Mus musculus: one gene and its partner. The protein of the gene in region 2 interacts with the protein of the main gene of each other region in a pairwise test. Links are inferred from orthologs where the notes say so. Each region holds a gene or a part of one and is shown on either strand. Other genes may lie near its edges.

The links.
Region 1: the proteins of Mid1 (region 2) and Ubtd1 interact in binary tests that used the Homo sapiens proteins (3 or more experiments, as listed by UniProt). The two-hybrid records come from large-scale screens. The link is inferred for Mus musculus from reciprocal best matches to the Homo sapiens genes MID1 and UBTD1.

The regions. Positions count from the first base shown.
Region 1 is NC_000085.6:41,980,578-41,984,562, forward strand, and holds the start of Ubtd1 (ubiquitin domain-containing protein 1), read left to right. Parts: upstream 1-1,185; 5' UTR 1,186-1,361; coding exon 1,362-1,431; intron 1,432-3,985. Other genes in the region: MMS19 nucleotide excision repair protein homolog, read right to left, coding at 422-536. UniProt on the Homo sapiens protein: May be involved in the regulation of cellular senescence through a positive feedback loop with TP53. Is a TP53 downstream target gene that increases the stability of TP53 protein by promoting the ubiquitination and degradation of MDM2.
Region 2 is NC_000086.7:169,878,205-169,882,418, forward strand, and holds the start of Mid1 (E3 ubiquitin-protein ligase Midline-1), read left to right. Parts: upstream 1-1,414; 5' UTR 1,415-1,705; intron 1,706-4,214. UniProt on the Homo sapiens protein: Has E3 ubiquitin ligase activity towards IGBP1, promoting its monoubiquitination, which results in deprotection of the catalytic subunit of protein phosphatase PP2A, and its subsequent degradation by polyubiquitination.

The sequences.
Region 1 (3,985 bases), on a different chromosome or scaffold from region 2:
ACGCTACTTCCAGGAAGGCAAGAGGCCGGAGCGTAACCCTTGGAACCCAGACCTTCTCACCTAACACTCCGCAAACAACGCGGTCCTGCGGTGCAAGCACCAGGTTTGGACCAGAACACCCGAGTCCAAGTCCCAGCTCCACTTCCGGACTCGTCTGTGCCTTGCACAAGTCTATTACTCTCGGAGAAATGTAATGATTCTCTATGGACCACAGCGAGATGCGGAATGTAAAGAAAGCTTTAAGGAAGATGCAAGCGACTCTCCAACTTGTTAGGGCAGTAGCGCTCCCAGCGGGGGCAGAGCGGCCAGAGGACCAATCACAATCACCTCTCCCTTCACTCCCTTCCCGCCGCGCGCGGGTGCTGAGGCCGCTCCCTGCGGTCCGGCCCCTGCAGAAGCCTCGCGGCGTTGTTTGCCATACCTGCAGCCACCTGGTCAGCGGGCCCCTCCTGTTGACCCATGACGAAGTCTTGCACGAGGCCACACAGGGCGCCCATAGGCGCCACTGCCTCCTCCAGACCGGTGGCGGCAGCCATGACGCTAGCCAGAGATTGTGGGAGGGGGAAGTGGGTGTGGCTACGAGATGTGTCTCTCCGCGCACGCGCCTCCATGGCCAATAGTTGGGCGCAGACTTCAGGGGCGGGGCACCTCCAGGTCACGTGCCTGCCGGCTCTGGGCCAGGCAGTCCCTTCAGGGACCTAACGGCCCCTCCCCAGAGGGCGGGGCCTGGGCCGGGGCGCGGCTCCGGGAGGGGAAGTGACTGCCGGGCACGCAGCCGGGGCGGTTGAGGGCGCATAATTCCCGGCCGCTCTCCCCGGGAGACGGGCGACAGGGCGGGCACCTGGCTGGGTGGGGCCGAGGGGCGGTACGCATCCTGGGAAAAGCCAATGAGAAAACCAGACCCGGCCCGAGGGGCGGTGCCGTCGGTCACATGCGCACCTGGGGCGGCTGGCGACCGTGGCGCGGCCACCCCAAGCGGGAGGAAGGGAGCGGGGCCGGGCCGGGGCGGGGTTAGGCAGGTGAGTGACAGGCTCCGGGGGGCCGGCCCCAGCTGGGAGCTCGGAGTGATCCTGGAGTAGCTGCGGCGGTGTCCGCCCCCTCCCTCCGCCCCTCCAGCCGGGCTGGTCTCTGGCCGGGCACTGTCGCGGGCCCCCCTGGCCTGGCCACCTCCCTCTCCGCTGGCCCGCAAAGTTTGTGGCGAAGCCGGCGTCGGGCAGAGCGCTCCCCAGGGGAGATCCAGGAGCTCTCGATGTCGGGCTGCGGGAGTCGTTGACCCGGGGACGCCGCGGTTCGGGGCAGCAGCGTGGAGCAGCCGGCCGACCGCCGCCTCTGGTGCATGGGGGACCGGCTGAGAAGCCAGCATGGGCAACTGCGTGGGGAGACAGCGCCGGGAGAGGCCGGCTGCTCCGGGACACCCCCGCAAGCGAGCAGGTAACGCCAGGAAAGGCAGCGGGGTCCCGGCGCGCTGCCAGTTGGCCCTTGCCTTGCCCGAACCTTGGGGTTCCCGAGCGACCTCGCTCGGCGCCGGGCGCTTGGGTTCCCCCACGGCTTCTCGGAGCCAGACGGGGCCCTCCCCGGCGCGGGCTGTCTGGGAAGCGAGTTGGGGTAACTGCGAGCGCTGACCCGGCCGGGAGGCCAACTCGCTCCCACCGGGAAGCTGGGGATGGGGGCGGGGGCAGGAAATGTTTCCAGACCGCGACGAGGCTGGCGGAGGGGGCCAAGCGAGTGCGCCGCGGATCTGGCAGCCCCGGCCAGGGTCGGCCGGCGGCCGGCCGGGGCGCGGCGTGGGCAGCCTGCGTCCCCAGAAGTCGGAGCGATCGAGGCGAACACAGTCGCTCATTCCAGCGAGTCACTGTGTCATTATCGGGCTGCAGGTCGTTGTCTGCGGGAATCCGACTTGTAAAAAGCAGTGCAGGACCATGGAAAATAGAAATCTTTATTTCCTCCCACCTCTCCACACGGCTTTTTGGAGCCTCGGTGGCTGTCTGGGAGTCTAGGAAAGGTGGGGTGCGGGGTGAGCGTCGCCTTCGTGTTTGTTAGGAGCGTTCTCAGCTCTTGGAATGGGATCCCTCTCAGCCATGAGAATGGGATCTGCTCTCTGGCAATCTTCGAAGCTCCAGTAGCGCGGTCTCACTTTCTTGGTACACCAGCCCTGTCCTGGCGCTTCGTTTGAGGGTCATTTCCCTGTCTTGTACTCTCTTCTCTGGGGGTGTTGCAAAGAACTTATGCAAATGATAAACTGTGGCGCGCAAAAAGACCTTCAACACTGGACTGAATTTCCAGATCTACCTCTCTTTTATGTAAAAACACAGATCCAGAGAGGTTGGGCAGCTTCCCCTAAGTCACACAGTGAGTTAGAAGTGCAACTGAGGTTGGAATCCGGTCTCTTCCCCCTTGTTACCACATACCCCTTTATGTAAGAGGAGCCACAGGCGCAGTTGTTAATGAAGTGGAAACTCTAGTTGGAGTTTCCTGTCTGCTTTGACACTGAAGGTGTGTTGTTTTGCTTGTGTAAACTGGGAAGGAAGATGGGGAGAAGCACAGGGGAAGCTGGGAAGGATGTGTGTGTGTGTGTGCTGGACAGGATGACTTGTGCAAGCAGAAACGTTTTTATGGGAGGATGGAGTAAAACTTACAAATTCCTTTTGAAAGCAACCCTGGCCTTTCTTCTGACCAAGGACTTTTGTTCGTTCATTCATTCATTCATTTATATCATTCATACATTTGATCAAGCAGAAAGCAAATAATTTTGATTTCTTGTATGCTCCATCCTTGATCTTGCCTCGTGTTTTTATGGTTGACTACCCTTTCCTACCTCAGTCTCCGAACTGCTTTCTATCTCTGCTATCCTTATCCTGGTTTCCTTTCTCTATCATTATTTTTTTCCAGTTTTGAGGGTCAGGAGTTTACAGAAGCATTCTGCCATTGAATTGCATCTCTATCCTCCGATTTTCCTTTTCAATTTCTCTTGCCCACCCTCACCTGTTATACACCAGTGGCTCAGTCTGACAATCTGGGTTTCCTCATGACACTCCCTCCCAGAGATAGCTTACTTAGTTGCACAACTCTTTGTCCATCAGGAAGACCCCTGTCTCTTAGTTACCAGCTTGATTCCCAGACCCCCATGTCTAGGCAGACATCAGTACTGTGGATATCCTGGGGCTCAACCCATCCACAACAGGTTCTGCACATCTCTACCCGCTGTCCTGTACTCTGCTGACTTGTCCTCAGCTTTCTGTCAGCTCGTCACAGGAGCCTGCTAGTTCTTCCATCAGAGTCATTGTGTCTTACAGACATGCCCTTTCCCAAACCATCTCAAGCCCGGCTATTCCCCCAGGCTGCAGTGAGCTCCAGGGAGGGCAAGCTCACCATCAGTCATTCATCTCATACCTGCATACACTCCATCTAGAAGCCACTGTGTGTCCAGACTGCAGTTATTTTTGTTCAGTACCTTCTACCTCTACAAGGCCTTTAACTTTCAAGACTGGGCAAGTCTGGCCTGGTCCTTTTAGAACCCGATTGCTTCCTCTTCCTTGACATTAAGGCCAGTAATGTTTTCATACCTTTTCCACTTTAGGAGAGTCTTTCTTCAGATTACACCTCAAACCCCAAATGCATCCATCCATCCTATTTGCCTTCATTTCTTTTCTTTTGAGACAGGACATTTGCAATATAATGAAAACAGACTGGCCTAGAACTCCCTATGTACCTAGTATAGCCATGTACCCTAGCTTGGCCTTGAACTCTCTCCAGCCTCGAGTGCTGGGATTATAGGAGTCTACCACCACATCCTACCTTTTGTTTGTTTGTTTGCTTGTTTGTTTATTTGGTTTTTTTGAGACAGGGTTTCTCTGTATAGCCCTGGCTGTCCTGGAACTCACTTTGTAGACCAGGCTGGCCTCAAACTCAGAAATCCGCCTGCTTCTACCTCCTGAGTGCTGGGATTAAAGGCGTGCACCACCACACCCGGCTAATTTTTTTTTTT
Region 2 (4,214 bases):
AGTGGGCAAAGGTCCTGATGTTGCTAAATATTTGACAACACACTGAACAGCTAGGTCCATGGTGAGGAATTATTTGTCTGCAAATGCTAGTAATTTCAAAGTTTAGAAGCCTTCATCTACCCAACCTTGTTCAACCTAACCCATGACCCTAAGGATGCATGTGGCTAAGGATGACTGTGAATACTGTGCAACACAACATTATAAATGTATTTAAAACATTAGGACTCTCTCTCTCTCTCTCTCTCTCTCTCTCTCTCTCAGTGTGTGTGTTGTGTGTATCTGTGTGTTTTGTGTGTGTGTGTGTGTGTGTGTGTGATTTGTTTTAGTAAGGTATCACCATGTGAAAAGGCTAAACAAGCTTGGGTCTAGGCCATAGTGAATGACTCTGAAGAACAAATAAATGGATTGAGGGCAGCTGGTGTGATTAGGGGGACTCTAAAACTTCTCAGTGGGGAGCTGAGGCAGAGCTATGGACTCCCAGGTGCTGGTGCCCTGCTGCCAAAATCTCAGAGAACTCAGCCAAGCTCACACATATTGAACCACACCTCCAGCACTCCTGAAACCACTAAATCATTATTTTATCTGTTATTATTTACTAATACTGCAAAAACTTAATATATATATTGGATTATCCTCAAACTGTGAGCACTTGTTTGGGAATATATATATATTGTATATATATATTTTTTGTATATATATATAAATTAGTGAGCTTACCAGTTTAGCACTGATAAACTCAAACACTCAAAGAGGTACATACACTTATGTAAAAAGAAGTTTCATTAACTAAATTTCTGTATTCATTGTTCTAATTAGGAGATGTTTTATCTGAAATTGTGCTTTCAGTCACCATCGATGAAGATTCTTCCTCAAGTCCTGTATTTCAAAATGTTTGTGTGCTCAGTCCCATTAACATTTGCTTCTTTAGGTTGGATATAGAGTTTATGTGAAGACGAGGTGGGTAACTGTCTTGGTTGCTTATTTCAGTTAGAGTGATACTTACAGCAGTGTGGTTTTTCCCTTCACTGTTTTTACAAAACTAGGTATCTAGAACAAGATACACTTTAAAAAATATCTTTGGGTCCTGAGGGTTGAGGTTTTCTCGCTGAAATCATTCTTCACCTTTAAAATGCTTTAATGCTTTTAAGGGGCTCTTAAAGTGCAAGGGTTTAAGGCCCGGAGCTAGTTAAGCTTTGAGCAGATGCAGTCTGTTAGACAAGAATAGAACTCATCCTTTACTTTGGGGAGCTCTGACACAACATCCAGCTGCTTCCAGTCATTTGACTCCTGAAAGCTGCCCTAATCCTGGTAAAGGCAGCCTCTCCTGCACCCAGGTCCACCCACTGCTCCTGATTGGCGAGGCTCTCCGCGACCGGAGCCCGCCGCCTACGACGTCCCTGTGAACTGATTTGAAATAAGAGCCAGGCGGTCCTCGCTAGCCTGCGCCCGACTTTTCATAGGCTGGAAAAGGAAAGGTTGAGAAACTTGACATTGTCTTGGGTAGAGAGCGTCTAGAAGCAGATCAAAGAATAAAAAGGGAGGGGGACGAAAAACGTGCTCTTTGCTGCCTGTGGATTCGACCGAGTTGCTTTTGTCTTGTGGGCTTTTCTGCCGGCTTTGGTGTCTGCGCTTGGAAGCCTGCGGGTGCGCTTCCGAGCAGCTTGCTCCCTGCCGGATGGGTCATGGAATTCTAAACATGAGGCAGGTAAGCTTGGGGGTTGTGATTGTAGCTGTGCTGGCGCCAGCCACAGAAGGAGGGCTTTAGCTTGGGGCCCCTGCGACCTGTTACTCCCAGAGCGGGCGGAGTGATCAAACGCAGCGTTCCAGCAGATCCATTAGGTGGAAGGAGGGGACTGCCTTCTCTTCCTAAGGCTACCTTAGAAAGCACATCACCTGCCGGCACCCCACTGCCTCGTCCTTACTACCTACCCGCGCCAGCTTTTGCTTCTAAGAGTGGTTGCTGATGTCAGGCAGTCTTTGTAAAAGGTTCAGAGCGGTTTGTGGAATATGCAAATCAATTCCAGTTTGCGGGCCTCTGGAATGTATTGTGCTGGATTCATCTCAAGCTTTTAGCCTCTACCCTATTATGCTTCAGGTTAGAATAAAGACAACTGCACAGTCTGACAAAGAAGCACGCTGGGACTCTTATCTTATTTTGCTTTCACGTTTTGAGCACTTTACTGTGTGTCCGAGGCTGAGAAGGCGAAAGCAGTCTGGATGGAACAAGCTGCACTTCCAGCGGAGGCAGGCGCGGGGAGGGGGGAGGGGGGTGTTACAGACTTTTTTAAAAACCGTTCTAGCACTTTAGGAGTTGTATTTTGTGTTGCTGCTGGACGTAAGAACACAGTCCCGGAAGTACTGAAGGGAGACCGGTCTTGAGTGTGTCTCTGTGAAGAATTCCAAGCCAGCAGCTTCTTCCGTCGCTCTAGGGCATAGGGATACAATTCCTTATCAACTTAGGTAGAAGTTTATGAGGTTTATAGCTTTGCCGTTGAGGAAAAAGAGAAAAGGAAAGACTGGATTACAAAGCCTAGAAGAGGGTGTAATTTACAACTCTATCACAGTTGGAAAAAAAAATCTTACGTCAATGTTTTATTGCCGAGATCGATACTCACAAGGGAAAGACAAAAGTAAAAGCCTTTCAGTGACTGGGAAGGACAGAGACTCCCGGGGAGGAATGCTAGTTACTCTTGCCAGAGCGGAGTAACTCCGGGTGGGAAACTGAGCATCTGTTTTGTCACCGGAAAACCTCTTCTCTTTTTTCTTCCAGTTGAGTTGGGTGTGCCCCACCCCAAAGTGTTCACTTTAGGCGAAAGTAAACCTTCCCATGAGTGGTTGGGCCAAGGGGTTTACGACTTTCCGTTTCACTGCCGCAGAGGTAAAGCAGAGGCCCTGCATGAAAGGTCAGGAGCAAAGGCCCTCACATTTCTTATTCGCTAACTTGCTCTTCTGGACGAGCTTGGGAAATTGCAGGAGTACAGAAAAAAGCACATGAAAGACTGTGTGTGTGCTTTCAGCAAATTGCATCTGCCTAGCTGGAGAGTGGTGCAGAGGCTGGCTTTCTCGAAGTTTTGCGATCTTATAGAGCAGCCTCATTCTTTGAATTTCTAGCAAGCACATGAGATAGACAAAAGGGGCAAGGAGGCTTGCTGGATAGGAGCAAGAAAGAGAATAGGTACACAATACTATTTTTCACAAAGGTCCTAAGCCGGAACAAAGAAGTTATTTGATGCTGTGTGAAGCCACCTGTCTTGTCCTCGGTGATGTGTGAACTCAATTTTTAGAATCTTTGTGCCCACACAGTTCCTCTGGAATGGGGTGACACTCCCTCTGTCTGATGCCTCAGGCAGGCTTGTCCAGAGCTTGGGATGATTTTTCCCATGTGGAACTGTGGCATTTGTATGAAGTTGGCAAACAGCCCAGTGTTGAAGTTTTAACTGTACAAGTAGGCATGTAGTAACTCCTTAGTTATTTAATGAATGACCATCTTTTCATCCCACATCTCTGGATACATATATAACATTGTTCTTTCGCCTATTGGGTAGTTGAAAAGAGGGAGGGACTGGGGGAGGAGATGCAAGAGTAGCGATCATTGTTCATACAAGAAACCAGGCATGAGATGGTAGCATTACTGCATGGGCGAGTCCCAGATTTGTTCTTGTTTCTCTTGTTGGGGGAGGGGAAGAGACCTTACCACTTCATTCAGGCAGAGGAATAACATCCACCAACCAATTTGTCATCTTAGGCCCAGCAGCCCCTGGCTGTATTTGCAGGGTTAGCTATCAAACCAACCCATGTGTCATCAGCTCAGCAATGAAACACAATCCTCTTGCTGGTAAGTGATCCGTCCCTAGGGCTGTGCAAATGCCGAACAGTGGGGTGGCAAGCCAGGACAGATCCCTACCACTAACTAGTTAGAAATTCTCCATAGCCCAAAACTCGCCAACACAATTAGAAGGCTACATGTTTGTGTGTAAGACTCAGAAAGTTTGGGCTCTTACCAGATTGTCAGCACACAAACAGTGCAGGTCAAAATTCTTATAAGGTAAATGAAACAAGCAAGCAAACAAACATAAACCTGACAAGTTCATCAGGAAGTCATTTTAAAGTGTGCCAACCTCTCTTGGCACTTTGATCAAAAAAAAAAAATGGAAAACTTTTCAGATTCTTCTTTGAGAAGGAATTTGCTGCGTTCCCAGGCAAAAGGAAAGGCA